4 linked regions of the Elephas maximus indicus genome follow. The protein of the gene in region 1 interacts with the protein of each later gene in a pairwise test. Links are inferred from orthologs where the notes say so. Each region holds a gene or a part of one and is shown on either strand. Other genes may lie near its edges.

The links.
Region 2: the proteins of LNX2 (region 1) and MAP2K5 interact in binary tests that used the Homo sapiens proteins (3 or more experiments, as listed by UniProt). The link is inferred for Elephas maximus indicus from reciprocal best matches to the Homo sapiens genes LNX2 and MAP2K5.
Region 3: the proteins of LNX2 (region 1) and TUBB interact in a two-hybrid assay, tested with the Homo sapiens proteins (3 studies listed by BioGRID and IntAct). The link is inferred for Elephas maximus indicus from reciprocal best matches to the Homo sapiens genes LNX2 and TUBB.
Region 4: the proteins of LNX2 (region 1) and LRRC8E interact in a two-hybrid assay, tested with the Homo sapiens proteins (3 studies listed by BioGRID and IntAct). The link is inferred for Elephas maximus indicus from reciprocal best matches to the Homo sapiens genes LNX2 and LRRC8E.

The regions. Positions count from the first base shown.
Region 1 is NC_064841.1:59,714,657-59,722,040, forward strand, and holds the start of LNX2 (ligand of Numb protein X 2), read right to left. Parts: upstream 3,002-7,384; 5' UTR 2,922-3,001; intron 2,397-2,921; exon of another isoform or gene 2,321-2,396; intron 1,846-2,320; exon of another isoform or gene 1,624-1,845; intron 1-1,623. Other genes in the region: POLR1D (DNA-directed RNA polymerases I and III subunit RPAC2), read left to right, coding at 3,289-3,314, 4,311-4,674; protein POLR1D-like, read left to right, coding at 3,289-3,314.
Region 2 is NC_064831.1:57,634,135-57,641,775, reverse strand, and holds the start of MAP2K5 (dual specificity mitogen-activated protein kinase kinase 5), read right to left. Parts: upstream 3,014-7,641; 5' UTR 2,350-3,013; coding exon 2,215-2,349; intron 1-2,214. UniProt on the Homo sapiens protein: Acts as a scaffold for the formation of a ternary MAP3K2/MAP3K3-MAP3K5-MAPK7 signaling complex.
Region 3 is NC_064819.1:91,029,404-91,036,787, forward strand, and holds the start of TUBB (tubulin beta chain), read left to right. Parts: upstream 1-4,373; 5' UTR 4,374-4,554; coding exon 4,555-4,611; intron 4,612-6,024; coding exon 6,025-6,133; intron 6,134-6,418; coding exon 6,419-6,529; intron 6,530-6,816; coding exon 6,817-7,384. UniProt on the Homo sapiens protein: Tubulin is the major constituent of microtubules, a cylinder consisting of laterally associated linear protofilaments composed of alpha- and beta-tubulin heterodimers.
Region 4 is NC_064821.1:12,623,458-12,630,973, reverse strand, and holds the start of LRRC8E (volume-regulated anion channel subunit LRRC8E), read right to left. Parts: upstream 3,017-7,516; 5' UTR 2,935-3,016; intron 215-2,934; exon of another isoform or gene 180-214; intron 1-179. UniProt on the Homo sapiens protein: Non-essential component of the volume-regulated anion channel (VRAC, also named VSOAC channel), an anion channel required to maintain a constant cell volume in response to extracellular or intracellular osmotic changes.

The sequences.
Region 1 (7,384 bases):
CCTCTGCCTAGAATATAGTTGGCAAAATCCTAACCCAACCAGACAGAATTTGCTCCCTCTTCTGAGTTTCTGCACCACTATGTTCAAATTACCTTCAGATAACTAATAGAACACTGGTCTGTATCAGCTTCCAAATGAGACTGTGAGCAACTCCAGGGCAAGGCTGCCCCTGGCCATCAACACGTGGCATGCAGTAGTATGCCATCCTTTGATAACTGAAGAAAGAATGAAAAATTTCTAACTTGATGAGAAAAGGAGAGGAATGAGATACAAAATTAGGAATGTGAGCACATCAGTGGGCTGAATTACAAATGGGTTATTCTACTTTGGTTCAGATTTGGCCTACATTTGACCCCTCTGGGAAAATGCACATTTGTGACTTGGACCAACTAAAAAGGCAAAACGTTGTTACTCATGGCTCAACAAAGCTCTGACAAACCAAAGAAGATACCAGATTCCCCTCTTCCTTCTTTACTTGCCAAAGTACATTTTCCAAAGTGGGGGAGGAATGAGGGTTGGAATCAAATCTACCAAAATAAATAAAATTGATCTACTGAGATCCAGCTCCATCAGCACTTAGTCACAGCACATGCAAGAGACAAATGAAAATCTATCCTGGGACGAAGGCCAATTTACATTAAGTACTATTGATGCAAGAATACGGAATTCTTAAAGTGAAGGCAGTGCCAATAATACATAGTTCCCAACTGTTTTCCCCTGCAGAACTGCCACTGCACTTGATCTCACCTCGTCTCTGATCTCTGTGATTTCAAAAGAATAACCTACACAGTGAAGCCCCATACAGGAACTGACTTTAGCTTCTGGAAGATGTGAACATCAGGATGTACAACCTTTAATACAAACTGAAACACCATAAGAAACCCTACATAGAGGTCAAAAGTCCTTGGCTTAAAACGTGGAAAAAAGCTTCGAAAAATGAGTGGTGTATTTCCTAAACCGTGCTTTGCACGCAGCTGCTTCCAAATCAAGATCTGTACTTTGAAATTCCCACCTCGAAGATGGCAAATCGTTCTCCCACCCCCTGCAGCCTAAACCGAAAGGTAAGAAGAGAACAGGCAACAGGCTGGGACAGGGGTATGCGCTCTCCCTGTCTCTCCCTTTCCAGGGGAACCAGATCGGATGCGAAGGCAGCTCGTACCACTCTCATCCTCCCCTATAGCACAGGTACGGGAAATAAAAAGCTCACCCCCACCTCTCCCCTCCCTAAAAAAAGCAAACGACGCCGAGATCAGTAACGCAGCGGCCGAAACCACCCAAGGGGACCAGCCCGGGGCCGCCCGCCGCTCCAGCCGGCACCGCCGCAGGGCATTCGGACTTCCGTCCCGGACAAGCGCGGCCGGCCCCCACGCCGGGTCCGCTCGAGGGGCCGGCAAGTGCGGCCCAGGTCCCCTCCGCTACCGGGCGAGCGAGGGAGCAGACCCGCGGAGGGCGCGGCTCCACCAGGCAGCCAGAGCGCCGCCGGCGAGGGGCGCGCCGGGAGGGGAGGCTGGGCGCCGTTCCCGGTGCGGCGGCTCCCGCAGCTCCCTGCACGCGAGCCTCCCGCCCGCGCCAAGCGCGCTGGCACCTGAGAGAGCGGACGCGGCGGCGGGCAAAGTTACTTACTGGGAAGCACGGCTGTCCGGCGCGCTCAGCTCCCGGCGCCTCAGCCCCGCGCTGGCTCCCGCTCTCCGCAGCCCGCGGAAGGAGCGGGAAGCGAGCCCGGCGCCGCTTCGCCGGGAATCGCCGCCGTGGCCGCTGCCTCCAGCCGCCGCCGCGGATTTCCTGGCAAGAACCAAACTCTGGCCAAGACTTCACTTCTCAACCGCCCCTGCTGTCTTCCCGGGGGCGAGCGCCGGGGCCGAATCGCCCAACCTGACACGCACCGGGGCCAATCCACGGCCGCCCAGGGCGGGGAAGGGGCGGGCCAGACGGCGGCTCCACCTATCCGAGTGCGCCGGGGGCGGGTCAGGAAGGGGCCGTCACTCACGGGTTAGAGTGAGCCCGCTCGCCGCCGTCCCTCCCCCACCGCGTCAGGGTTGTCCCCGCCGCCTGCCTGATTTCCCTGCTAAAGACGCGGTCGGGAAGTGTCTCAGCACGAGTCCCCGATGCCCGAGTGCCGCAAGGAGAATGGGACAGCTGGGGGAGAGATGGAAATATAGGGAAATCTGGAGGGAGGCAAGAACAGGTGGTGCAGGAAAAAGAAATGTAGGTGTGCTGGGAGAGGACAGCTGGGGTGTGGACAGGGCCTGACGGGGGGCAAGGGAGGTGCTGGGAGCGGAAGAGTGGGAAGGGAGAACCGGTTATTGACGAACAAGAGCACCTGAGCGGACGAAGAGACGCGAAACGAAGGAAGAAAGCGGGCGGAGAGCTCCGATTCCGGGTGGTGAAAGGTTGCAGAGGCGGGGGCAGGGCACCTGGGAACAAAGGTGAGAGGGAGGTTCCGCAGGTGAGGTTGTTTAAGGAGCCAAAAGGATAAGGGAGGAAAGAAGCCCAAAGCGGGGATGGACGTATTCTAGGGGTAGAAAGGGGGAAAACCAGTTTTCTTGCAAACTCTCACTCCCCCAAGATAAAGGCAAACGCGTGTCCTTTGGCCTAATCGAGACGTTGTGCAACTGCAAGATCTCCGACGAGACAAATACTGTCTGAAACCATTTTGTTTGAAATTCTTCTCTTTCCACATTACCTCCTTCCTTTCTTAAAAAGTGTATTGATAAACTTAATGCGATCTACAGAGACCTCAGTACCCGCTGAGTGCTCCTAGGGTCGTCCCATGAAAGCCCCTTGAGGGTTGGGGTGCCGGGAGGGGCCAGCCTGGGAGCAACACTATCCTCATGGGTCTAACAGCAAGACAGAAAGAGGCCTGACTCTTAAGAAAGGTGATTAGGGGGCGGCAGGTGAGGCCCCGCCCCCTTGGCCCTCACCTGGGGGAAGGTGCCCAGGGCTGAGCTCCGGCATACACCGGCCTGTATCCGGCCTCACTGTAAGGCCTTCGCCGGACCCCACCTCTCCGCCCCTCCCGCTCTGCGGACAGGCTGCCGGGGGAGCACCAGGTGAGCAGGGCGGGCCTCGCGCCTTCGCCCCCCTCGCGCCGGGGGCGGGGCCGGGGCGGAGCCTCTAAGCTCCGCCCAGCGGCCGGGCCCTGCCGCGCCGAAGCGGCTCCTCCTCTCTCCTTCCGTCTCCCCTCCTTCCGTCGGTCTTTCCTTCCTGCTTCGCCTGCACGTTGCGCGGTATGGGGCAGAGCCTCCGGTCCGCCAGCACCGCCTGAGGAGCCCGGAACCTGCCGCCGCGATGGAGGACGACCAGGAGCTGGAGAGGTAACGGCCCAAGAGGCGGGCGAGCGGGCAGGAGGAGCGGGCTGCGCTCGGGCCGGAGAGCCGGTGGCAGGAGGCGCGCGGCCAGGCCGGGGCCTCGGCCTCCGCGCCCGGCCTGGCAGGATGGGCCTGACCCGGGGCTCCGAGAAGAGAGGAAAGGGGGATAGACGTGGACGCCTGGGTGGAGAGGGGGCCCGCCATGGGGAAGAGAGAGAGGGTGAGAGACATGGATGGCTTGAATGGACACGCTCCGTAGACTGGTAGCTATCAAGGAGGGGAGACAAGTTATGAGACCAGAGCAAAGCCCCCGAGCTGCTCCTCCCGCCTTAGAACAGCAGGAATAAATAAAACTAACGGGTGACATTCCGCACCAGGCCACTGTTCCCGAGTGGATGGTATTGGGGTGTTCGCACAGACCCAAGCAAGTCCTGTGTTTACTGCTCCCGAGCTTCTCTGTGCAGACTGTTAGTAAAGCCACTTCTCTATGTGCTGAGTTCTTTTTCTCCCTCCTGCTTGACTATTCTCAGACCTTCCATTCCTCTAGTTTCCTTACCTCTTGCAAATGGAAGCCATAGCTGGGCCTGCATGTCGATAATCTGTGGACTTAAATCTGACATTTACACTTAAGCAGTATTTTTTTTCCTATCACTTTCGGTGCCCTCTTCATCCTCCAGCAGGGCCCACCCTATTCTAATCTTATCTCTTTCTTGTGACTCTACCAAAATAATATTTTAGCAAACATTTATGCTTGTGCCTTAAGAAGGCTCTCCTTGTGTCCCTATGGAGGGTCAAATGGAGTAGGGAGAAACTGGAGGCAGTAATTTAAATATTGGTTAAATGAATTTGCCGAGGCAGGAAAATAAGAGACAAATAAATAGTTCTGTGTGGTTGGAGTGGATTAGAGTAAAAATGTGTTGTAATTGTGATTGGTAAATGAAAAAAAGCTAGTCATGAAAACTATTCAGTATGATCTCATTTTTATAAAAAATGTGTGTGTAGAAAAACACAAGGATCGAAGACCTCAGTGGCTGAAGGCGAGAGGAAGACTGCCCTGGAAATGGTCCAGGCAGCTGGAACAGATAGACACTGTGTGACATTTGTATTGCACGAAGAGGACCATACCCTAGGAAATTCTCTTCGTTACATGATCATGAAGAACCCAGAAGTGGAATTTTGTGGTTACACTACGACCCATCCTTCAGAGAGCAAAATCAATTTACGCATTCAGACACGAGGTGGTCTTCCAGCCGTTGAGCTGTTTCAGAGAGGCCTGAATGAGCTCATGAGTGTCTGCCAACATGTGCTTGACAAGTTTGAGGCAAGCATAAAGGACTATAAGGACCAAAAAGGCAATCAGAAATGAGTCTACATTCTAGCCCCTTATGCACCATATGACAAGGATACTCTAGGATATTTTCTTCACGATCATGCACAACCCAGAAGTAGAATTGTGTGATTAAAGCATGATCTAGCCTTCAGAAAGGTGTGCTTCTAGCTATTGACCCATTGCAGCTGTTGGATTCCCTGCAAGTATTTTTGTATTCTTTTGAATAAATTCCCTCTTATTTAAACTGGTTTGAGTGGTTTCTGTTATTTGTAGCCAAATGATACCCAAGGATGAATTTTCTTTTTCTTTTAGCTGAGCCAGTACTGATAGTGAGGAAACTATAAGGAAACCAGGCCTTAGACAAGGACTTTGATCATAGGACTTAAAAGGAGTACACATTCATGGCTGTGATTTGGAGGAGGAAGGGCAGTAGAACATAGCCCCAGATAGACTGGTTGATTGAAAAAAAGGAAAGGAAAGGAAAATTTGGTTTCTTGATAGATATATATATATAGATATGTATGTGTGTATATATATATATTTAGAGAATTGCAGCCTTTGCAGTATTGGGCAAGGTTGGGGGATAATTTGAAAGAATTTTATGAGTTTTGCTTTCCCATGAGAGTTTTAGGTGGTGTCAGGCTCCATCTTTGTGGGAGCTCTTATAGAATAGATGCCAGTTTCTTGCTTGAATTTCAGGATACTGATAAAATATTTAGTCAGAAATGCCCTAAGTATAAAAGTGATAGGAGAATTTGGAAATGAATAATGGTGGTGGTTGAACAACAGGATAAACATAAATAATGTCACTGAATTGTACACTGAAGAATGTTGAAAAGGCAAATGTGTTGTTACATATATATTTACCATAAAAAAAAGAAAATGACCTAAGTTGGCCAAAAGGTTTTTATTATATCAAACTAAACTCATTACTGTTTAGTCACCTCCAACTCATAGTGACCCTATAGGACAGAGTAGAAGTACCCCAGAGTTTCCGAGGAGCATCTGGTGGATTCAAACTGCCAACCTTTTGATTAGCAGCTGAACTCAATCACTATGCCACCAGGGTTTCCAAGGAAGAGAAAACTGAAATGTCTAGGTAACCTTTTCAGTTCTTAGATAGGTCTCTAAGAATAACTCAGGTTTACGTAGAAAAAGCATCGTTCAAGAGAAAGTAAGAAGGAAAATTCTGTCTAGGGAAAATAACTTTTCCAGAAAACTTGAAATATTAGTGAATCCCATCCAAAATCTGTCCTGTCTACCTCTTCAGTTTGTCTCTTGTGCCTGTCCCACCCCCGCCCAGCTCGACTCTTCATTGACCCTAAATACATGTCAACCCTTGGACCCAAGCACTCTAGCCTCCATCCCCCCCTCCCCCGCCGCAGTGCTCTTTGGGGCCTTTATGTTGTTCCGCTTCCTGGAACACTTAGTCCCTCCGTACTCTAGGTCAAAACTTACACATCAGACTCCCCATCCTAGTTTGGGTGCTTAAGTGCTTTCATTACACCCTATGTTTCCTTGTCTTAATGTTTATTGTGCTACTGTTAGTGCTTTTATTTGTCTGTCTTCCTGGTATACTAACTCGTGATCACATTGCCTGGCGTAATGCCTAACCGAGAAAAAAACGATAGTGGACATTTAATAAATACTGGATGAACCTATGTATGTAATTATGGCACGTAGCCTTTCATTCACTCAAATCTACTAACTTGAGTGAACTTGTGGGAGCCAATACTTTGAAAGATGAGAGTGATGTTAATGAAATCAAGAGGACAGAAAAATGTCAATTGGAGTTAATGTTCTGGAGGTTTTTGGGCAATGGGCAACATTAGTGCCTAAGAAGGGTAAACAAACATTAGCATTCATTGAACAAAAGAATGGCTTAGTTTGGGTTTCCCAATAAAGAAAACACACAAAGGACACTGGAGAGGTAAGTTTAGATGGGAGCAGGAATGAGAAAGATTAAAGACATGGAGCAAGGATAGGGAATATTCTTTGGGTGACAGTCATGGATTCTGGAAAACCAATGTCAGTTTATGGGAATTAGCACTCAAAGATGCCCTAAAGGGATAGGTGGAAGAGGTTCAAAACCTTCTCTGCCTCTTACAAAATTTTGCCTATGAGTAGCCCTATGGGAATAGTAAACAGAGTTTAGTACCTCTGAACCAAGGCCTGTTGGAAGATGTAAACAAAACAAAAACCTGTTGCCGTCAAGTCAATTCTGACTCATAACAACCCCATAGGGAAGAGTAGAATTGCCCCATAGGGTTTCCAAGGAGCAGCTGGTAGATTCGAACTGCCAGCCTTTGATTAGCAGCCTGACTGGTTAACCACTGCACCATGGTTCAATAAGTCAACCTAGAGGCGTAGAATGATACAGGCTGAGTCATTCTTACCAGTACCCGTGGGAAAGACACCCACTGGTGACCACTGATGCATCACGTGACTTCATTGCTTCAACTGGGATTTAGTGTCACTGATAATGTGGAGTGCTGTCTTGAATCTGTAGGTGGCCAGTGGAAGAAAATGAGCACCTTCAGAAGGCAGAAGGGGGAAAACTGAGGGCAGGCAAGATAACCAAAAGGCACATCTGGAAGGAGGAAGGAATCTTACTTCCATAAAATCTGTAGAAACCTGAGGGAAGACTGAATTGGTCAAAAAAAGGGTGAGGGAGATGGACATGAATTGTATGTAAGACAACATATGATATATAACATATATGTTGTCATAAATATATGTGCAGAGA
Region 2 (7,641 bases), on another chromosome or scaffold:
CTCTTAAACACTGTCCTATTCTACTTATACCTTCTGTTGTCTGAAATGAGTAAAGTGAGAGAAAGCTCATGTCTTTCTCATCACAGATGCAATCTCATTTAATCTTCACAAGTCTTTGAGGCAGGTATCATCCTCCATTTTACAAATAAGGAAATGGAGGCACAGAAGAAATACAGTGACTTGCCTAGTTAGTGGGACAGCTTGCAATCAAACCCCAATGTCTTGATTCAAAACCCAGTGCTCTTTCCACAGCACTGTAAGTGTACCATAACTTTTTAGCTCCCTCATTAAACAAGTGTTTCAGAGTCCTATGAAGCACCAGAAACAGAGCAGAAACAGACATGCCCATCTCCTCCAGAAGTTCACCACCTAATGGAGGAGACAGACAAATAACCATGACACAACATGTCTCGCTTTGCTGGCATACACACACAAAACTCTGGGAACACAGAGGAGGGCCACATAACCAAGACTAAGGAAGAATAGCGCAGCTTGGCTTTGAAGGATACGTGGGAGTTGAACAGCTGAAGAAAAGGGCAAAGTGAGGACAACCTGGGCCCCGGGAGAGCATGGAAAGTGATTCCACACACCTGGAGTACAGGATGCTCGGGGTGTGTCGTAGGAGTTGAAGCTGGTGCCAGGTAGGCAAAAGCCAATCAAGACTTGCCCAGAGGACCATGCTAGGTAGTTTGGGCCTCATCAAGAAGGGAAATCTACGTGCATGTGAGTGTGTGGAGAACTCTGAGAGCAAAGAGAAGGATACCATTTGGTGCACAATACTGAGGTTGCTATGTCACTCTTGTCTCAGCACTCCTGGCCCAGGCACCTGAAAACCTGCACGGCTGGGTGTTTGTAACATCCAGAACTCAAAATGAAATTACAGCAATCAAAGTTTCGTCGAGTCACTCATGACAATCAAAAATTGCATCACATACCTGCCACTCAGCCCCATCTTACCTAGCGGGTAAGTTCTACCACAGATCTGCGATTTGCTATGTCAGTTCTGCCTTTGATGCCTCAGTTATTCAATACGTAAGATGGGCACAAGGCATCCTACCTCAAATGAATGTTAGAAAGATAAGAAGTGGCACAGCAGCCTGTGGGAAAAAAAAAATAGTAAGGAAATCCGAGTTCTAGTACTGACTCTCCCCATCAGGAGCTACACGGCTTTGGAAGGCAGGAGCCCTGGTGGCACAGTGGTTAAGAGCTCAGCTGCTAACTAAAAGGTTAGCAGTTGGAGTCCATTAGCTGCTCCTTAGAAACCCTATGGGGCTGTTCTACCCTGTCCTATTAGGGTCGCTATGAGTCAGGATCGACTTGACGGCAATGGGTTAGGGTTTCTTTTTTTTTTTTCTTTTGGTTGGCTCCTCAGCAGCTATCTGTAAAAAGGTACATGGGTGAACTTTTTCCTGCCTTTTGTAACCTGGCCTAACTCCAAGATTATACTCTGCTTTAACATCCCATGATTTTATTTGAAATTCATTTCAAGTATCTTGATTCTAAGATACACATTTTCCCGTATTTTAACATCTCTGAAATTGGGCTTTATTTTGTCTTTACGATGGATGGTGTGTCATGGTTTATAGGGCAGCATTAGTTTTTCTTAGTGATACATCCCACAATGGCATGTCCTACAATCAACGATGTCTTAGGTTTGCTGAAACATGGGAAGTTCAAGCTGCCCTTGTTTCAGTTTCCCTTTCCTCACTGGTCACCAGGTTCAGAGGAGCCTTGGGGGCGCAGCGGTTAAAGTGTTCAGCTGCTAACTGAAAGGGTGGCTGTTCAAACCCACCAGCTGCTCCTCAGGAGAAAATTCAGAAAACTCAGTAGAAAAACATGGCTAGAATTCGGCCAGACATTGCCCCAAATCCTTGGGAAAAGGTCTGTCTTCTAGACTCAGCTTTTTGTATCCCAGTTGGTTGCTTCTATGTGTGTGATTCCAGTCTGTGAGCTCCCTGAGGGCAGGGGTGTGGTCTCATTCTCCTCTATTTCCCCAGGGTCCTGCACAATTGCCAGATCTGGGTTGATGAAATTAATCAATGCTTGTGGTTAAAGCAATAAAACTGCCCCATCCAGGGGAAAAAGCCCAAAAACCCACTGCCGTCGAGTCGATTCTGACTCATAGCGATCCAGGGGAAGATTCAGCAATTAAGGTGCTGACCACTCCTCAGGTCCCTGAGCACCCCACCACCTCGCTGAGACTCGGACACTCACCAGCACATCCCTGAAGAGTAACTGCGGCCCGGAGTGCACTGTCCAGTCCACCGCGCCACTGTTTGGAATCTTGATGCGAATGACCAGCACCTGGTTCTCCATGGCATGGAAGGGGCCAAAGGCCAGCCACAGCATTACAGACCAGAGGAGCTCACATCCTGGGGTACGGGGTACCCACTGGCCTCCGGTTTAGGCGGGGGCTCAAAGAGGAGCCAAGGGGGGTGAGGAGAAGAGAGCAGAGGGTGAAAAGTGAGGTCTGGAGGGTGAGGGGTGAATGAGAGAGGAGGGTGGTCAGGAAGGGCCCGCAGGCACGGAACCAGGCTCCGTGAGGGGCTGGGGTGTCTCCCTGTGAGGGTGGACAGGGGAGGGGGCAGGGGACAGTAGGAACGAGCGGAAGTCTGAAGGTTCTGGAGTTGGAGAGGGAGGCAAGACGGGTTGCTGAAAGCTCTCTGCCGTCTGTGTGGGTGTGAGGAGTCGGCCGAGCGAGGACCCCGTTTGGGGGAGATACAGCGGCAGGTGTCCGCCCCTCCTCAGGGGACGAGGGGAGGCTCCCCGACTGGAGCGGACTGAGTCTGGGGCTGTTAGGAGGGAGCCGCCGGCCGAGGGCTCAGGAGGCCAGTCCTCTGCCCCACCCCCGGCCAGGGGACGCGGCGCGCGCGGGCTCAGGCCCGGCCGCCCGAGGCCGAGCGTCCGGCTGCGACAGCGGCGACGGCGGAGACGGCGGCGGCGGAGGCGGGAGGAGTAGGAAGGCGACCGCGAGCACACTGTTACTCCGGAACCAAAACGCGCGGCGCCGGAACCCAGGGAGCCGAGAGCCGGCCCGCCTCCCGCGGCGCCATGTTGGAAAAGGGCAGCTCCAGACCGGAGCCGCCCCCGCGCCGCGGGCGGGAAGCCACCAGGGGTGAGCGACCGGCCCCAGGAAACCCGCCTTGACTGAGGGTAGGGATGGGTCCTGCCCCCTCACGAGACCCTCGTTGCCAAGCGGCCGCCCACGGCGGCGGAGTAACGACCGCTTCTTTCCCGACCCTGAATAAAATCAGCGAGGTGAAAAATCTAACAAACGAAGGGGGAAACTAAGGCTGGAGTCCGCGAGAAGCAAACTTAGAGCTCGAAATTGTGTCCTGTTTGCCTGTACAGAGCCTGAGAAAGACGGGACTGCAGCTCCCATCTGTTCCCTACTTTGTCAAGCCGAGCACCTAAATATGTGTGGGGGATTGTGTATCAGATCACTAAGAGCAAAGCAAGAACTCAAAAAAAAAAAAAAAAGTTTTTTTTCCAAGGCACAAATCCAGAGAACCATCTTTTTCCCACATTAGCAAAGCCTTATGGATTTTTGTTAGTGAGGTTCTTTTCCCCCAATATTGCCCTGAAACAGCAGACAGCCCCCTTTTCAGAAGCAACGGTAAAGAAATTCAGGGAAGAGTGAAGAAATTCAGTGAAGCCCTCTGTAGTAGTAGCATCATTTTCTTTTATAAAAACGTTGCGAAAATATCTAGTCCACAAATTTTCAACTAGATCGCAGTGCTTATGTAGTCGCTGATGTCACAGCGGAGCAATGACGCTTGGTTATTTTTAAAGACCTTGTTACCTCACATTTTAAAGTGCGTCCTTCTGTTGGTCTGTGGTGCCCTTACGTTTGCTTAGGAATTGCAACATGTAGATTTGCGCTTTAACTCTTTCTAATGAAAGTGGACAAGTTGGCTTTTGGGGGTGGTATTTTGTATAAACTTAGTGGGGGAGGGGTGTCGAGTTCTCCTTCAACGGTCAGATAGTTGATTAAATGAGAGAAAAATAATTAAGATGTTGGTCAAGTTCAGTGTGATACCCAGAAGTTTTTCTGCATACTTTTCTCTGCCTGAGCTGCTTTTATATTTAATTTGAAAGGCCACTGTAGGAGAAAAATGATCTCTTCAGTTCTTGTAATTTAATAGCTTAGGTAGAAATTCATTTAGTTAGATCCTCCAGATACCGTAGGATTTGCCTCTTTCCGCCTGTACTTCAATCCTGTGAAAAATAAAACTTTTGCCCAAGGTCCCCATGTACTTTTTATTGAAGGTTAATTTTCTATTCTTTGAGAAATTAGACCACAAAACTAAAGGTTTTCTATGAACCTATGATTTGTTAAAATGTCTTTTTTATTCATAGTACCGTCGGGAAAACCAACTCAATTTGCAAAATTTGCATACATATTCTGAAGCTTTTCTTAGACTAATGGCAGGCTCATAGCACTTTCCCAATGTTTGCAGAGCCAGATATAATCACACTTCAGTTCTTCATAGCTTTTTTATAGCAAGAAATCTTGATGGTTTTAGCAAAAATATTCCAGAACTAGAACTGTCACTGCAAGAAGCGTCATACTCACAGATAATACAAGACCATTCCATTAGGATCTTAAATGATAAAATATCACTTTCGAGTCTTACGAAATAAACAAGATTTGTTATCTGAATTTGGAGCCTTACTGGTTCAGTGGTGAAGTGTTTGACTGCTAATCAAAAGGTTGACACTTTGAATCCACCAGCTGCTCCTTGGAAACCCTATGGGGCAGTTCTACTCTGTCCTATAGGATTGCTGTAAGTTGGAATCAACTCGATGGCAACAGGTTTTTTTCTTAACCGAATTTAAAGTATCTTTAATATTCAACATCAAAGTTCTGTGTAATCTTAAAACTTTTATATGCAATACATACAGTTTTGAAATTTTTTATCTTTTTTAAATAAGGGGTATAAGTCAGGAAAGTCACTCAAGGACTGGCTGATGTAGTTTGGTAGCCATAAGTCAGATTTACTGTACTAAAAAAACCTGTGCTGTCTTGTACTTTTCCTACTTGAGGGACTTCTCAGTAAGTGTAATAGAAAATCCTTCCTCTTGTGAAGTTATATCCTGGTGAAGAAGACAAACATATGAGTAAAGTATTTGTTAAAAAAAAACCAAACCTGTTGCCATCGAGTCGATTCTGACTCATAGCAATCCTATAGGACATAGTAGAACTGCCCCATAGAGTTTCTAATGAGCAACTGATGGATTTGAACTGCCAACCCTTTGGCTAGCAGCCAAGCTCTTAACCACTGCACCATGAGGGCTTCAAGTGCTAGTAGGAAAATGAACCCAGGACGGGAAGATGAAAATAATATAGCACAACAGTATAATAACACTAAGGAATATGAAAACTGGCTCGTATTGACTTCTGTTAACCAGTAAGCTTAACTGAAGAGAGACCCATTTCTGAAAAGTTAGGTGTAGAGTGATTTTTTAAGGAGGAAAATTTTATTTTATAAATTCAGAGAAAGTTTCTCTCATCTCCTCTTATGAATTTGCTCTCAGTCTGAGTTTTAACCCTGAATCTGACCCATTCCCACTACCTTCAATGCCACTACTCCAGTCCAAACTACCAGTATATTTCTCTCTTAACCTATTTCTAGGAAACCTTGGTGGTGTAGTGGTTAAAAGCTATGGCTGCTAACCAAAGGGTCTGCAGTTCGAATCCACCAGGTGCTCCTTGGAAACCCTATGGGGCGGTTCTACTCTGTCCTATAGGGTTGCTATAAGTCGGAATCGACTCAACGGCAACGGGTTTGGTTTTGGTTTGGTCAATCTGTTTCTACTCTTGTCCCTACTAGCAACAGTCCATTCTCAACCCAGTTGTCAGAGGAGAGCAGGTCACTCATTTGCTCAAAACTCACCAGATGGCTTCCTGTCTTGTGCAGGGGAAAACCCAAAGTTCTTTACTAGAAAAACTCTACTCATTCTACCCAGCCACCACCCACAGCCCCTGAACTCTCTAGCCACATCCACTACTCTCCTTCATTCACACTAGCCTCCTTCTCACAGATCATGCATTCCATCTCAGGGCCTTTGCAGTTACTGCATCTGCCTGGATCGCTCTCAACCAAGATACCCCCTTGGCTCCCTGCCTCACATTCAGCAGATCTTGATTCAAATGTCACCTTCTTGCAGAGGCCTTTCTTTAGCACACTATCTAAAGCTGCAGACCAGCCCAGCTTCGCCTCACCCATAGATACAAGCACATTACGTGTGTGCAATTCCTAATTCCCTTCCTTAGTTTATTTTTCTTCTAGCACTTACCAGTACTACATTTTTTGTTAATTTGTTTATTATTATTTGTTTTATTCACTCCCGTATCCCCAGTACCTACAATAGTTGCTGTGCATAGTGGGTACTTTAGTATTTGTTGAATGAGTGAATAAATTTAAAGGCAAAGTAGACTGAGTGATAGGAATGCAACTCCCACATGCATTTACTGCCTCTCCTGAGCCTCACTGGCTCATTTCCGTTTCCTTGAGTTTGGTAATAATGAGAGGGGCTCCACAGAGAGACACTATCACCAAGATTGAGATAATGACAATTACAGATTTCCCTTAAACAGCAGATTTTAAGACAAATACGAATTGCCTCATATGTTCAAGAATTAAGGATCCCGTGTATCTCCTTCAGCACCTAGTGTGGGCATTTGCATAACAATACTTAAATATCTGTTGATTGGTTTTGATTTAAAAAAAATATGAAGATCATGAACAAGACAAGAATGTTCACTTTTACCACTGCTATTCAACATTGTCCTGGAAATTATAGCCAGAACAATTAGACAAGAAAAAGAAAGAAAAGGATTCCAAATTGGAAAGGAAGAAGGAAAACTCTCTATTTGTAGACAACATGATACTATACATAGAAAATCCCAAATAATCCACACACAAAAAAAACTGCTAGAGTACTACACTAATTCAGCAATTGCAGGGTACAAGATTAACACACAAAAATAAGTTGTATTTCTATACACCAGCAATAAACAAGTCAAAAAGAAAATTCAGAAAGTGATTCCATTTACAATAGTGTCTAAAGGAATAAGATACCTAGGAGTAAATTCAACCAAGGAGGTGAAAGACTTGGACACTGAAAACTATAAAATATTACTGAAAGAAATTTAAAAAGACCTAAATAAATGAATTTCCATAGATTGGAAGACTTACTATTGTTAAGATGTCAGTACTAACCAAAATGATATACAGATTTAACACAACCATTCTCAAAATTTCAACAGCCATCTTTGCAGAAATTGAAAAACTATTCCTCAGATTCATATGGAATTGCATCAGGTCCCATGTATCCAGCCAAACCTGTTGACATTGAGTTAATTCCGACTCATAGTGAATCTGTAGGACATAGTAGAACTGCCCATAGAGTTTTCAAGGTTGTAATCTTTACAGAAGCCGACGGCCACATCTTTCTCCTGCGGAGCAGCTGCTTAGTTCAAACCACTGACTTTCAGCTAGCAGCCAAGTGCTTAACTGCTTAACCACTGTGCAACCAGGGCTCTTTCCATATAACCAAAACAATCTTGATCAAGAACAAAATTGGAAACTCACATGTCCTGATTTCAAAACTTACTACAAAGCTACGGTAATCAAA
Region 3 (7,384 bases), on another chromosome or scaffold:
CTCTGACCTTTTTCTGGTCCATGGGCACTGCTGAAGATATGCAGTCGCCCTAGGGGTTCCAAGTTGCTCCCCACAGATTCACTGGATCTCTCTGTTTCCTCCTCTTCTTCAGCCTCCCAGTCGATAACCTGGGTATCCTCCATAATCTGGAAGGGAACACATTATCATCATCCCCATCATTAGCTCATACACACAGTATTAGAGAGGAGACTGATAACTGGGGGTGAAACTGGATAGTTACGGAGGTTGATGATTTTCTTTCCGTCAATCGTTGTTATTATCCTCCTGAAGCGTTTTTCAAATATCTTTGATGACAGAGAGAGAAATATACAGCCTCTAGTACACAAACATAACAACGATTGTGAGCGTGGCGCAGGACCAGGGTAGTGTTTTGTTCTGTTGTACACAGGGTCGCTATGAGTTGGAACTGACTCAACGGCACCTAACAACACAGATACATGTGAACATATGTACTTCCTTACATAAACAAAAGTTTTGAGAAACAATACTTAACCTTAGTATGCACAATACGCTGATTATCTTTCATCTATTTTTTCTATACCACATATATCTCTTAAACGTTGACTTGCAACCTACTAAGTTGATTTCACTATCCATTATTGGGTCACAACCTATAGTTTGAAAAAGAGAATTTCAAAGGGAATTAACCTTTGCCAAACATCAACTATGTGTTGGGCATTGTGTTATGTGTCAGGCATCATAGCCATATGAGGTACGCATTTATGAAAGTAATGCTAAAAATATTTTTAAAAGTTGCTCAATATAACACAGCAGTAAGTAGAAAGGATAGGAATATATGTAATTCTGGCTGTAACGCCCATGCTTTTTACACTTTATCCTATCACCTCAATGTGATCACACTGAACTGCAAAGAATCATAAAACCAACCATCATGTAAAGATGCTTGCTTTATGCCAGTTACTATTCTAATTACACTAGCTGACTCATTTAACAGAAGAGCCCTGTAAGGTAGGTATTATTGTTATCTCCCATTTTTTCACATAAAGAAACTGTGACACAAAAGAACTTGCCCAAGATCACCCTGATGTCTCTCCTATTTAGTACCCTTTGCTGGCTTCCCATGTTCACAGGATAAAATAAAATCTAACTCCTTAGCAAGACCCTCCACGATCTGAACTTCATGTCCTGCAATGCCTCGCTCCCCCAATTTCACGAGCCTATAATTCAGTCACATGGGCCTTCTAATTAATCTCTGAAAACACAGTCCTCCTTGTCCTGCACACCTGCATGCCTTAGCCCAGCTTGCCTCTGGCCTTTCACTCTGAGTTTCCTGCTCCAACTCCTAATCATCCCTCAAGATTCAGTTCCAATGTCACAGCTTTCCAGTGTTCCTCCTGTATGTTCCGCAGCCTATCCAAACACTTCTCATTATAGTGTAACCATTACTTTCCATTTCTGCCTTCACACGCCCCCTCCAGGGCTGGACCAGCAGAACTGTCTTTTCCCCTAAAGTCCATCATATTCAACAGTAGTTATGGAGCAAAGTTTGCCGTCAAGGTATGTGGGACATATCCGTGAACCAAACATAAAATGAGCCCTGTCTTCATGGAGGTTACATCACTGAGCCTACTGGTAAAAGAACAAATGAAAGAAGAAGCAACTCAAAATAGCATGAGTGGGATTCACTTAGAAGGATGCCACCCTAGAGGGAAACTGGTCAGGTAGGGAAAGTAAGACGACCCCTGGATAGTGTCAACTCCATCCTCATGACCGGCCTGGCCTACGAGTCTTGACTCCAGTACACCAACATCTTCGATCCACAGCCCAAGTAGGTTCCGTTATGATCCAACGTCTCCCTGCGTCTTCATACCTAGAAGTCTGAGCTGGACGTCAGGAACGGATGAACACTGTAATCCCCGAAGCAAATGCCGAATGGTCTCCGCCCAGTCGCTCCCAAGGCACGCCCCTCCCGACCTCCGGGGAAAGGAGAAAATGGCACCCCGGGAAGCCGTGGGGGAGGCCCCCAGAACTCACCTACTTTGAGTCCCCGCGCGCGCCACCAGTAACGGCCGCGACCCGGGAGGCGGGAGTGCGTGTGCAGGAAGAGGACAGGTCCGCTGGTTGGCTCTTGTTGCTGTCCTTTACAGCTCTGCTGCACGCTGATTGGTAAAGTCTCCGCGCGGAGGCTCAGCCCTCCCCCGCCCCACCCCCGCAGTTCAAAAAGGCTGCAAGGAGGCTGAGATCTGTTGAGACTGTAATGGGAGGCTTCCGTGCGCCCGCAGAATAGAGCACCTCGATTGGGTAGCTCGAAGGGACAACCTACTACCGTTTCACCTCCCACCTCCCACTTCCCGCGCAGATTTCCAAACCGCGACCACAGAGTGCGACACCATCTTCTGGCGGCGGATAGAGGGGCTGTACCATAGACGTCGCCCGATGAGTCTGTTGCGGCCAGAGCGCCGTTCCTCCGTCCTCCTAGGCATGGTGTCTGCTGACTCATGAGAAATGGGTCGCGGGTTGCAGTCGTGGCTGCAGGCTGCAGTTTGGAGAACCGTTCGAAGGCGTGGCGCTTGAGGACTCCTCATAACAATGGAATTTCATTTCCTTTTTATTTGGCTTGTTTTATAGAAGTGCTGTCTTTTCCTGGGAATACATTCCTGACGGACATTTTGAGGTCATTTTCCTAAATCTCCCTAGGCAAACAGAGAGGACTGTTATGTATATGTTAAATGTATTTTAAAGGATGACCGAGGTCTGTCCGCAGCTTTCAAAGGGTGGGGGGAAGATAATAAAATCATTTTATTTCATTACCTCAAACTAAGACATGAAAAGAACAGTAACAATTTGACCTATGTATTATTATTATTTTTTATTATTATTTAGGCAGTCCTCTCTCATTTGTTACCTCAGTTAATTTTGACTACAACAATCAAATAGGCAGAAGTCAATTTTACAGACGAGGGAACTAAAGCTCTGTAGTTAAATGTCTTGCGTAAGTTCCTACAGCTAATGTAAAAAAAAAAAATGTTAGACGGAGTCAAATTGAAACAAGTTCTCTTAATTCCATGTTCTGAGCTCTCTCTACTGCCACAAACTTGTTTTCATTGTGATCATGCCCTAAAACATAGAATATCCTTTAAAAAAAAAAAATTCCACCTCAAGTGAGTAGATGGACATGAAAGGGTCTTACACAACTTGATGCTCCTTTATTTAGAAAGCGTCTGAGAAATGTGTGTTAAATTGAACGTGAATTAACAATGATGACCTTGCTATCATCTCTTATATTATGCTGCTTACCACGCTATTGTTATTACTTGTTTATTTGTTTCATCTAACTGCAAGGTCCTTGGGGTCAGGGAGCCAGTTCCTAATCATTTTTGTATCCCTAGTTCCTTGGTTTGGTGGACACTTAGTATCCATCAAATGAATGAATCTCCAGAAGGAGCATGCCACTCTGACCCACCCAATTTTCTCACACCGCTATTCACCTACCTCCCTTTTTATTTTTCAATTTTGGGACTCTAGATCAATGTGAACTGCATTAGGCACCTAACCCCACAGTTCCCTGTTAAACAAAAAGACCAAGGTGTCTTCAACAGTGCTTCAGGGCCCAGATCCTCTACATGGACCAAGACTTCTGACTTCACAGGTCCCAGATATCAGCTTCCCTAATCAATGAACTTATTCTTTGAACACACACTCCAGACAACTACATCTCTATTCTGAAAAGTCCTTGCTGCAATTTTGTTTCTCTTTTGAAATATCATTCGGAAACTCCCAAATAAATAGCAAGAGGGCAATCCCCTCCTGTTTCCAGAGGTATGTAGAGGAACCGTGGCTTACTGGAGTTCAAGCCTAGGTCATCAAAGGACCAGAAGATAGTAGCAAAGCAGGGTGCCGCACTTCTCCCCCGTTTTCGCTGAGGTAAGCAGCCCAATCTTCCTAAGAGCTACGGCAGCGGGGAGCTTTTCAGGGCGTGCCCAGCCCACCTCCCAATGCCTGGCACCCCAGACTTCCCAATTCTTGCATCTCCCAAAACTACTCCCCTCTGTACACACAAAAAAAGAGGAACAGAGGAAAGGGATCTTGTGCAAGGTCATAGTTTTTCATTAAAAAACAAAACACCAAAAAAAACCAGTACCCACCCTTTCGTCACCTCATTTTGCAGCGTGGACAACAATAGAGGACTACAACTCCCAGAGAGGACCGCGCGCGTCCCACTCTCGCGAAGACCAATGGGTGTCTGGTACATGACAGGCATCGACTAATCAGGGACAGACTTGATGAGGCTTTGTCTCCCGACCGCGGCGCGGGACCCAATCTCCCGCCCCCCAGCCCCCGCGCACGCGCGCCCCGCCCTGCCGCCTTCCCTCCCTCACCCTCCCCCTTCCTTCTTTCTCCCTCTCAGAACCTTCCTGCCGCCGCGTTCGGACCTCGCTGCTCCAGACTCCGGGGCACGTTCCATCCCCGCAGCCTGCGATCTGCAGAGCCAAAAATTATATATCGTTCTCTTGCCCCGCACACAACCGAGGCGAGCAGAAAAAAAAAAAAAAACTAAAATAAATTTTCATCATGAGGGAAATCGTGCACATCCAGGCTGGTCAGTGTGGCAACCAGATCGGTGCCAAGGTAAGGATTCTAAAACCTCTTAATATTTCTTTCAAGAAGAAAAATTCAGATCAGTTATGAAGGATGGTTGTGGATATTCGCGCTCTCCATCCGTAATCGAGCTTTGCAAAAATAAAAAGTGTGTGTATATACGCAGACACATTTGTAGCTAGAATTGCCTTTTGGAAAATGGGGAATTTGGTAAGTTTTCTCATTTTGGGTAAGCTGTTGACGGTTTGGGGGGCGGGAAGACGGAGGATCTGTAAGATTTTACTTAGGAGGGATCTTATAACGGTCCGAGGACGGGGGAGGGAAGAGACTAGCAAAGGGCTCGAGACAAAGCGAGGCGAGGTCGGCCCCATGTGCCTCCCGCCCAACCCCCCCGTGACTCGGGTTAGGACGAGACTGGAGGGGGAAGGGGCGAGGCTGGGCGGGCAGCTGCAGAGGGCAAGCCAAAGGTGGGGGGCGCGGTGCGCCAGAGTGGGCTGCTGCCCGTCCTGCACGAAAGATCAGGGACCTCGGCGCGCCCGCGGTCCCCGAGGGGCGGCTCCGTAGTTTTGCGTGGATGGAACGATAAAATGTATAGGGTCAATTTTACTTCCTTTTATTTCCTCTTTATGAGACCCTTTTAGGGCGTGAACAGATAGGAGACAGAAGGCGCGAGAAAAGGGGGAATAGGCTCGCTAAAAGGTCCTCTCGGGATAGTTGGAGGAAAAGAAAAAGAATCCTTTAAGGCAGGAAGGAAAAAAAACTATCGAAGGAATAAAATTCCAAAGCCGGGGGGGAGGGGGATTTTACTTTTTTTTTTTTGCGCGGGTTACAGTGTAGCGGGGGAGGGGACGGGGAGGAAGTGCGCTTGCTACGTTGTAGCAGCAGGGCGGGGCCCGGCGGGGGCGGGGCCCTGGCGCGCGGGGACAATGCGGCTCTGCCCGCCGGCGGGGGCGCTCGAGCCCGGCCCCGCCCCCCGCGCGGAATTCGCGCCCTCGGCTCCGCCCCTCCCACGCGCGACACCGCCCTTTGTCAGCTCCACGCGCGCGTGCGCGCGCCGCAGTCACGTGGAGCAGGGGGAGCGACTGCGGCAGCGGCGCGCTTCTTGGTCCCCGGTCCTTTGTGCATGGAGGGGCGGTGCCCGGGGGGGCGGGAGGGGAGCTTATCCGGTCAGCTCTGCCTCCCCACCCACTCGCCTCAGTGCCCATGAACGCCAGGCTCTCTCAGCAGCATATCGTCTCAAGTCCCAAGGAGTGGAGTTGAGTAAAGTATATAAATTGAGGTTCCTGAGGATGCGGGTGTTTAGGGAAAGGGCGTGGCAGGCGGAGAGAAGGGGTGCCAGGCTTTGAAACAGAGCCTACATGGTGCGCCTGGAATAAAATGGAAGGGGATGCATAGTTGGCTGGAACCCGAGCCAGCCAGGGGCTCATTGCTCTCCTTCGGCAGTTTTGGGAGGTGATCAGCGATGAACATGGCATCGACCCCACCGGCACCTACCATGGGGACAGCGACCTACAGCTGGACCGGATCTCCGTGTACTACAATGAAGCCACAGGTGAGGGCGTGTGCCCGCGAGGATCGGGTCCCATCTCCTCGCCCACTTCTCGGGGGGGGTTTCTTTCAATCTCTGGGGAATACCTTGTTCCTTTTGCATGAGTCCATCATCCTTTCCCTTTGGAAATGTTCCTCAATTTGGTTTCTTCCAACTTCTGGGGCCAAAGCCCAGCTCTGCTGCCACCTGCTTGCAGCGCCTGGAATCACAAGTCTGGGTCCCAGGCTCCCTCAACCCAATGCATTAGTTTTCCCTTCCAGTCAGTCGCTCTTACTCTTTTTCCTGTAGGTGGCAAATATGTTCCTCGTGCTATCTTGGTGGATTTAGAACCTGGGACCATGGACTCTGTTCGCTCAGGTCCTTTTGGTCAGATCTTCAGACCAGACAACTTTGTTTTTGGTAAGTTATACAGAAGAGATCAGTAGATGTAGTCTTATTTAGTTTGAGTATAAGGGGATAAACGAGAGTTAGAAGATGATGGTTTTACTGGAGAACTTACAGAAGGCTCTGATAGAAAGTGTAGGTAACAATTGTCTTAGCTGGTAGGTTCTAGAGGAGGATATATCACAGGCGAGGGTGGAGTAAAGATATCTCCAAGGGGGTTATTCCAAAAGTTGAAAGGTAGAAGTGTGCTCATGTACCTTCACACCTTCCTAATCAAGCTTGATTCCTTGACCCCATTCCAGGTCAGTCTGGGGCAGGCAACAACTGGGCCAAAGGCCACTATACAGAGGGGGCCGAGCTGGTCGACTCTGTCTTGGATGTGGTGCGGAAGGAGGCTGAGAGTTGTGACTGCCTGCAGGGCTTCCAACTGACCCACTCACTTGGCGGAGGCACAGGCTCTGGGATGGGCACCTTGCTCATCAGTAAGATCCGTGAAGAGTATCCTGACCGCATCATGAATACCTTCAGTGTGGTGCCCTCACCCAAAGTATCCGACACTGTGGTTGAGCCCTACAATGCCACCCTCTCTGTCCACCAGTTGGTAGAGAACACTGACGAGACCTATTGCATTGATAATGAGGCCCTTTACGATATCTGCTTCCGCACTCTCAAGCTGACCACGCCAACCTATGGAGACCTGAACCATCTTGTCTCAGCCACCATGAGCGGTGTCACCACCTGCCTCCGCTTCCCTGGCCAGCTCAATGCTGACCTCCGCAAGCTGGCAGTCAACATGGTGCCTTTCCCACGTCTCCACTTCTTCATGCCTGGCTTTGCCCCACTAACCAGCCGTGGCAGCCAGCAGTACCG
Region 4 (7,516 bases), on another chromosome or scaffold:
TGCCCCCGTTTGACTCACTGGCCCTCTCAGAGCCCAGAGGGGCTGCAGGACCACTGCCTCCCAGCTTCCCAGTGGGGCCCTCTCCTGGAACCCAGGCATCCCCCTCTTGGCCCCGAGGTCTCCCTCAGGTGCCCCCTGACTTAAGAATCCCTGTCCCGGCTGCCAGCCCCGGCTCTCACCTGCCCGGGACCTGGGAGCGTCCTGAGGCCCGGGACTTCCGGGGTGTGGGCTGGGACCAGTCTAGGACGGCCCACCTTCAGGGGCACTGGGCTGTGGGCACCACCTCCAACCTCCAACCGGAAAAGCCGGCTGGATTCAGGCTCTGGTTACGGGGGCCCCAAGGGCAGGGAGTGGCCACACTGAGTGCTGGTCAGCCTTAGGGGTGGGGGGACAGGGCACGAGGGTTTCTAGAGTGGCCGGAGCCCAGAATCTGTGGTAGAAAACAGAGACCTGGGCACTCGGAGGGCAGGAGCAGGGGGCGGAGGATCTGAAAATGGAAGAAAGCCAGGCCCTGGGGAGCCAGGCCCCTGGGCAGCCTGGCCCACTCTGTCTATCCTACAGGGGTGAGAGCCACAAGCTGGGACAGCACCCTCAGCACCAGCTGGAGACCCTTCCTTGGGCTGGTTCTCTCAGGCCTCCCACCCATCTTCCAGGAAGGTGCCCCCTGTCCCCCACCTTGGCCAGTTCCCCCATGTTCCCTGAAGGCCTTGGGATGGCTCCTGGGTAGGGAATGGAGGTGGGAGAGGGGCCTTTAATCCACCCCTGCAGGGGCTCCCACGTGAGTACAGGGATTGGCATGCAAGGGGGCGGGCACATGCCTGGCTACACATGGACACCATGTGCACCTGCCCGGTTTCACAGGTACCTGACTCAAAACTCATGTGGAGTCAGACACATGCAAGCAGGTGCACAGAAACCAGGGTCCCCCACACAGCAGCACCCTGCAGGCGCACCCCACACGCTCAGGTACACACCCTGTCCCAGGCAAAGACAGGAGTGCACCGCAGACAGCCTGTCACCAGGTAATGGATGGAAACACGGATGGACACAAACACGCAGAGGTTGACTAATGGCAGCCACAAAGAGGGACACCCGGGGGCATTTGGAGTTTGCATATGCATGTGTGTGGGTACAAAGCTTCAAGACACACTCACTGAGCGGAGGGGAGACCCAGAGACATGGAGACACACAACCATTCTCAGCTAGGGAGGCTGTGGCCAGGACAGATCTCACAGTGCTGCTAGCTCTCCCTCCTGCAGCCTCAGGCCAGCAAATGCAGACACAAAAGCAGAAATACACAGGGTCCCAAGCCAGCTGAAGGAAGTGTAGACATACACAGAGTCAGGGGCTGACACAGGGGTTATCATTATCTGTCTCCTGGCTCAGGCTTAATCATTGTGACCCTAACATTAAGTCTCCGCAGACACATGGCCACCCCCCACCTGGTCTGAACAGGGCTGGTGGGAGGGCCTGAGGGCCCAGAAGGAGGGGCTGGCTGGGCAAGGAACCCAGAGAAGAACAGTGGGGACAGCCACTCAACTTAAGACCAAAAAGCCAAACCCACTGCCATCGAGTTGATTCCGACCCTTAGCAACCCTATAGGACAGAGCAGAACTGCCCCATAGGGTTTCCAATGGTGGATTCGAACTGCCAGTCTTTTGATTAGCTGCTGTAGCTCTTAACCACTACACTGCCAGGGTTTCTGACACTTAAGACCACCAAAACCAAAAACCAAACCTGTTGCCATCGAGTCAATTTCGACTCATGGAGACCCCATGTGTCAAAGAGTAGAACTGCTCCATAGGGTTTTCTTGGCTGTAATCTTTATGGAAGCACATAACCAGGCCTTTCTTCCGTGGGGCTGCTGCATGAGTTTGAACCTCCAGCCTTTAGTAGCCAATCGTAATCCACTTGCACCCTGCTGCTTTAAACACCTCCTCTTATCCCAGTGTTGTGAGGCGTGGGGGGTAAGGATCCTCACTTTCCAGACTCAGGGGAGAGAAATAACTCGCCCAGGGTGGTCAAGGCCTGTTCTGTCCCAGCCTGCGTGCTTGCTGTCTGTCTTCACCCTGTTCAATCTCGGGAGAGAAACTCCCTGAGATGGGGCATCTTTGAAAAGGGAGCTTCAGAGTGTTGGTCCGGCAGAGAAGGCACGAGGGTGGCCACCTATGCCCAGATGTGTGCCCCCCAGCACGCTGGAGGCCTGCTTTTCCTCTCTCGAGCCCTCCTCATGCCCCAGCTTGTCCCCAAAGAGATGGTGAGCGACTTCCTGCTAGTAGTTGCGTCAAGGGCTCCTGACGCAGTGCCCCCGGCCCCGTTTCCACCAGCACCCCCTCCCCACCCACCCCAGCCTTTAGGGGCCAGGAAGAAACTGCTGACTACTGTCAGCACTGAGAGGGCCCAGAAAGCACAAGGGGAAACTGAGGGCCCCGTTGGTGGCAGATCTGGGGAAAGGCCCCAGGCCTGGGAGCCCTCAGCCTAATACTTTGTCAAGCTGTCCCTGCCAGAACTTGGTGGGGGGCCTGGGTAGTGGGGGGATCTTGAGGTTCAGAAGGCAGACTGGTGAGGACCCTCGTGGAAGGGGTCTCGGGGCTTGGAGGGGCTAATAGAAATGAGTTGTTACTGTTTTCCCTGTGATCAAGGAGAACGGGGACGTGGTCCAGACCTCCAAGGCCGACCCCAGCCTGTCAATCTCCACTCTGTCACTTGGTCGGGCCTGCTGGTCCCTGGGCTGGCACCCCACGGGCCCGCCAAGGCCGAGCCTCTGTCCCCCACCCCACCCCCAGCTCCTCATGTGTCCAGTAGGGCCCGCCCTGGCCACAATTTCAGCTGCCAGTCGCACCTGGGGCAGTTCCGGCCCTCGGCCAGATCCCGGCTCCCAGCCCGACCACCATCCGCCACCCCATTCCCAGAGGCAGAGAGCTACCCACTCACCGCTCTGGGACGGACGCTGGGCCTGACTCCTGGGTCCCTGGGAGCGGCGAGGCTGGGACTCCCGCAGAGTTCCCGGGCAGGGAGGGTGAGTCAGGGCAGGCGGGGCGGGACAGGAGCCTGGGGGCCGCCCCGCCCCGCCCCGCCTCTGGCCCGCCTTCCTCAAGTCGCTCCCAGGTTGACCCCCACTCCTGGCGCCTTGTGGTCAGGGGAGAAGGGGAGGGAGGAACAAGAGCTGAGTTCTCACCTTCAGGTCCTGCCGTAGGTGGGCAGGGGCTGAGCGGGGGGAGCAGGGGCCTCAGAACTCTGGGCTGGCAGCAGTCAGGCTGGACCCTGGGGTGGGGGAAGTAGGGGTGGAGGCACTGGGCTCCCCTAGGCAACCTGTGACCCTGTCAGGAACAAGGTGTGGCCACCTGGCCTCAGCACAGGGCCCAACCTAGGAACTGAGAACAAGCTCCTAGCTGGAGACCCTCCTTTCCAGGGGCTGGGGACAGGGCAGTGGGAGGCTCCCCTTTCTGCCCCAGCCTGGTGGGACAGGGCCCAGCCCACCCTGGGGAAGCAGGCGGAGTGGGGGTGTTCACTGTTCTGTCCATGCTTAGCCTGTCCTGGAAGGAGGGGGCGCTGAGTGGCTCCCAGGTCCTGGGGACACAGAGACAGCAGGACTCTGGGAGCTGGGGGTGGCTCTGCTTCCCACCTCCACCTCTTCGTCCCCACCTAGAGGCCTGGGCTGGGTCTTAACCATTTGCCATGGAGTTGACTCCAACTCATGGCGACCCCATGTATGTCAGAGTACAACTGTGCTCCATAGGGTTTTCAAGGGCTGAGTTTTCAGAAGTAGATCACCAGCCCTTCCGAGGTGCTTCTGGGTGGACTTGAAACTCCAACCTTTTGGCCAGGGATTCCCACTGAGTAGTCGTAGAAGTATAAACCTCTACTTCAGGCTGGAGGCATCTGTGGTTGAACTTTGATCTATTCTCAGTCTGGAAAAAAGAAAAGGAGACCAAGACTAGGGTGAGGAGAGTAAGGCCCCCTACCTCATGGCAGAAAAAAGCCAGAGCTTTCACCAAATGGGAGAGAGCCTGAGACCTGAAACTGTGAGGACTGGGACTGCCTAAGCTTCTTTTGGAGCCCTGGTGGGATGGCGAAGTGGTTAAAAGCTTGGCTGCTAACCAAAAAAGGTCTACAGTTTGCATCCATCAGCTGCTCCTTGGAAGCCCTATGGGGCTGTTCTTCTCTGTCCTGTACAGTCACTATGAGTCAGAATCCACTTGAACACAACAGGTTTTTTTGTTTGTTTATTTCTTTTGATGCTTCTGTTGGAGCCCTGGTGGCGTAGTGGTTAAGAACTCTGCTGCTAACCAAAAGGTCGGCAGTTCAAATCCACTAGCTGCTCCTTGGAAACCCTGTGGGGCAGTTCTACCCTGGGATCACCATGAGTCATAATCAACTCCACAGGCAATGGGTTTGGCTTTTTGGTTTTAAGCTTTGTTCCTCTGTTGCCTCAGGCAACAGAAACCCTGGGTTGGAAGAGGCTCTTTGGACTCAACCCACCACTCCTCCCCCCCTCCTCCCACTGCAGCCCAAAGACAAACCCTGCAGAAACTGGGCCAGTTTTTCATGGTCTATTCAACAGCTCTTTATGTGTGCCATCGTACGCAGGTAAAAGTTGGACAATGAAAAAGGAAGACACAAGAATTGACACATTCGAACTGTGGCGTTGGTGAAGAATATTGTGTAGACTGTGGACTGCCAGAGGAACGAACGGATCAATCTTAGAAGAAATACAAGCAGGGTGTTCCTTAGCAGCAAGGACGTTGAAACTTCAACTTACTCACTGAGCACGTTAGTAAATTCATCAGAAAGACTAATTGCTAGAAAAGAACATCATGGTTGGTGAAGCAGAGGGTCAGCACAAATGAGGGAAACCTTCCATGAGATGGATTGACACAAAAGCCACAAGAGTAGACTGAAACGTATCAAAGATGATGAAGATGGTGCAGGGCCAGGCAGCGTTTTGCTCTGTTATATATAAGACTGCATGAGTCAGAACCGACTCCATGGCAAATACCAACCGTGTGCCAGGCCCAGAAGCTTCCACGGTGAACGAGATAGGCCAGGCCTCCCTCCTCTCACGGAGCTACTGTCCTAGAAGGTTGGAAGAGAGACAGACACTAGGCAGGCAAACATATGAAGGAACAGGAGAGCATCAGTCTGTGATAAGTGCTATGAAGGTAACAGAAAGAGTGAAGTGGTAACAAGAGACAAGGGATTCTGGAGACCTTTTGGAGGAAGGAACGTTTGGGACAGGTTGTTTCCCTGTCCTTCTGCCTCTTCCTCTTTCCAGAAAGGCTTCTCTCCTTGGGACCCATGCCTTGGGTACTTGTTTCCAAGTATATGCTGAAATCGGGCAGATCCGCTGCAAAAGACCTCTTTAAACTGTTAAAAAAGCAAAGACGTCACCTTGAAGACTAAGGTGCATCTGACCCAAGCCATGGTGTTTTCAGTCACCTCATATGCATGTGAAAACTGGACGATGAATAAGCTAGACCAAAGAAGAATTGATGCCTTTGAATTATGGCATTGGCAATGAATATTGAATACACTATGGACTGCCAAAAGAATGAACAAATCTGTCTTGGAAGAAATACAGCCAGGATGCTCCTTAGAAGCAAGAATGGCGAGCCTATGTCTCACATACTGTGGACACGTTATCAGGAGGGATCAGTCCCTGGAGAAGGACATCATGCTTGTAAAGTAGAGGGTCAGTGAAAAAGTGGAAGACCCTCAATGAGATGGATTGATGCAGTGGGTACAACAATGGGCTCAAGCATAACAATGATTGAGAGAATGGTGCAGGACCAGGCAGTGTTTCATTTGTTGTACATAGGGTTGCTATGAGTCGGAACTGACTTGACAGCACCTAACAACAACAAAATATGCTGAAATGAGCGTCTTCATATACTTCGCTTTGTGTACTTGTTCAAGAGCCTCTGAGCTCACTAGAACATAAGCCCCACCGAAACCAAAACACCAAACCAGTTGCCGTGAAGGCAATTCTGACCCATGTGTACAAGGGAGAATTACTCCCTAGGGTTTTCTTGGCTGTAATCTTCATGGAAGATCACCTGTTTCTTCCATGGTGCCACTGGGTGGGTTTGAACTGCCAACCTTTTGGTTACCAGTCGAGCGCAGACCATTTAGGCCACTGAGGGACCTTGCTCCACAGGGTTTTCAATGTCTGTGACCTTTCGGCAGTAGATTGCCAAGCCTTTCTTGCCAGATGCCTCTGCGTGGTTTCAGACTGTTACTTTTAGATCAGTAATTGAATGCTTAATTGATTGTGCTGCCTGGGGATTCCAGACATATGTCTCTTTTGCTCCCTGTTGTACCCTCAGCGCTTGAGATGATGCCTGGCACACAGCAGACGCTAAATAAATGACAGATGAGTTAATGACTGAGATGTTGTCTTGGTTTAGGGCAGTGGTGGCTCAGCGGTAGAAGTTTCACCTTCCATGCAGGGGACCTGAGTTCGATCCCAGCCAATGGACCTCATGCACAGCCCACTCCCATCTGTCAGTGGAGGCTTGTGTGTCATTAGGATGATAAACAGGCTTCAGTGGAGCTTCCAGACTAAGACAGATTAGGAAGAAAGGTCTGGTGACCTTCTGAAAATCAGCCCATGAAAACCTTGTGGATCACAAAGGTCTGATCTGCAATCAACCATGGCAATGGGGCAGGACCAGGCAGCCTTTTGTTCCATTGTGCATTGGGTGGCCATGAGTCAGGACCAACTGGACTCAGCTAACAACAACAGATGCAGACCCTGAGACAAGGAATTGGATGCAAATAGTCCATCCGGAAGGTGATTCTAGGAAGTGCCAGTAGGGCAATGAGGAAGTAAGACAGGAAAGCAAAGCAAGCCGGAGGTGGAGCCAATACGGCACTATAGACAGAAGCACCATGCCGTCCCTTTGAAGCAAAGACTCAAAAAACTAGGTAAAACAGTTACAAACATTGATCATGGAACCCTAAGTACCAAAGGAAGGAATAGAAAACTCAGTCAAGAACCAAATGGAATAAGAAACTGACAGAGAACAGAGAACAAGGAGAGCTATGGAGTGGAAGTCCCATACCAGCTACTGTGGCCAGATTTGCCATCTTGGACTACAGCCACAAAAAAACTCAGACAGGGAGCATGGGAAGGCAACTTCACAGAGCTCCCAACAGGAGACAGAGCACCCAGTAACCAGCACAAAATCATGGAAAATACAGACAAAATCATGAAAAAGACAGAGAAAACAGTGGAAGAAATCAGGAAACTAGTACAGAAACAAAATGTCAAAACAAATAAACATCTAGAAATCATACAAAAACAGCCGTAAGAAATCCAAAAGATAAACAACAAGATTACAAAAATAGTGCAATAGAAGGTTTTAGGAGCAAATTTGAAGCAATGGAAGACAGCATCAGCTAAATTGAAGACAAGTCCTTTGATACCACTTTGAGGTAAAAACAGAGAAAACAAAGAAAAGTGAAGAAACCCTGAGAACACTGTGGGATACAATCAAAAGCAAAAATCTGCGTG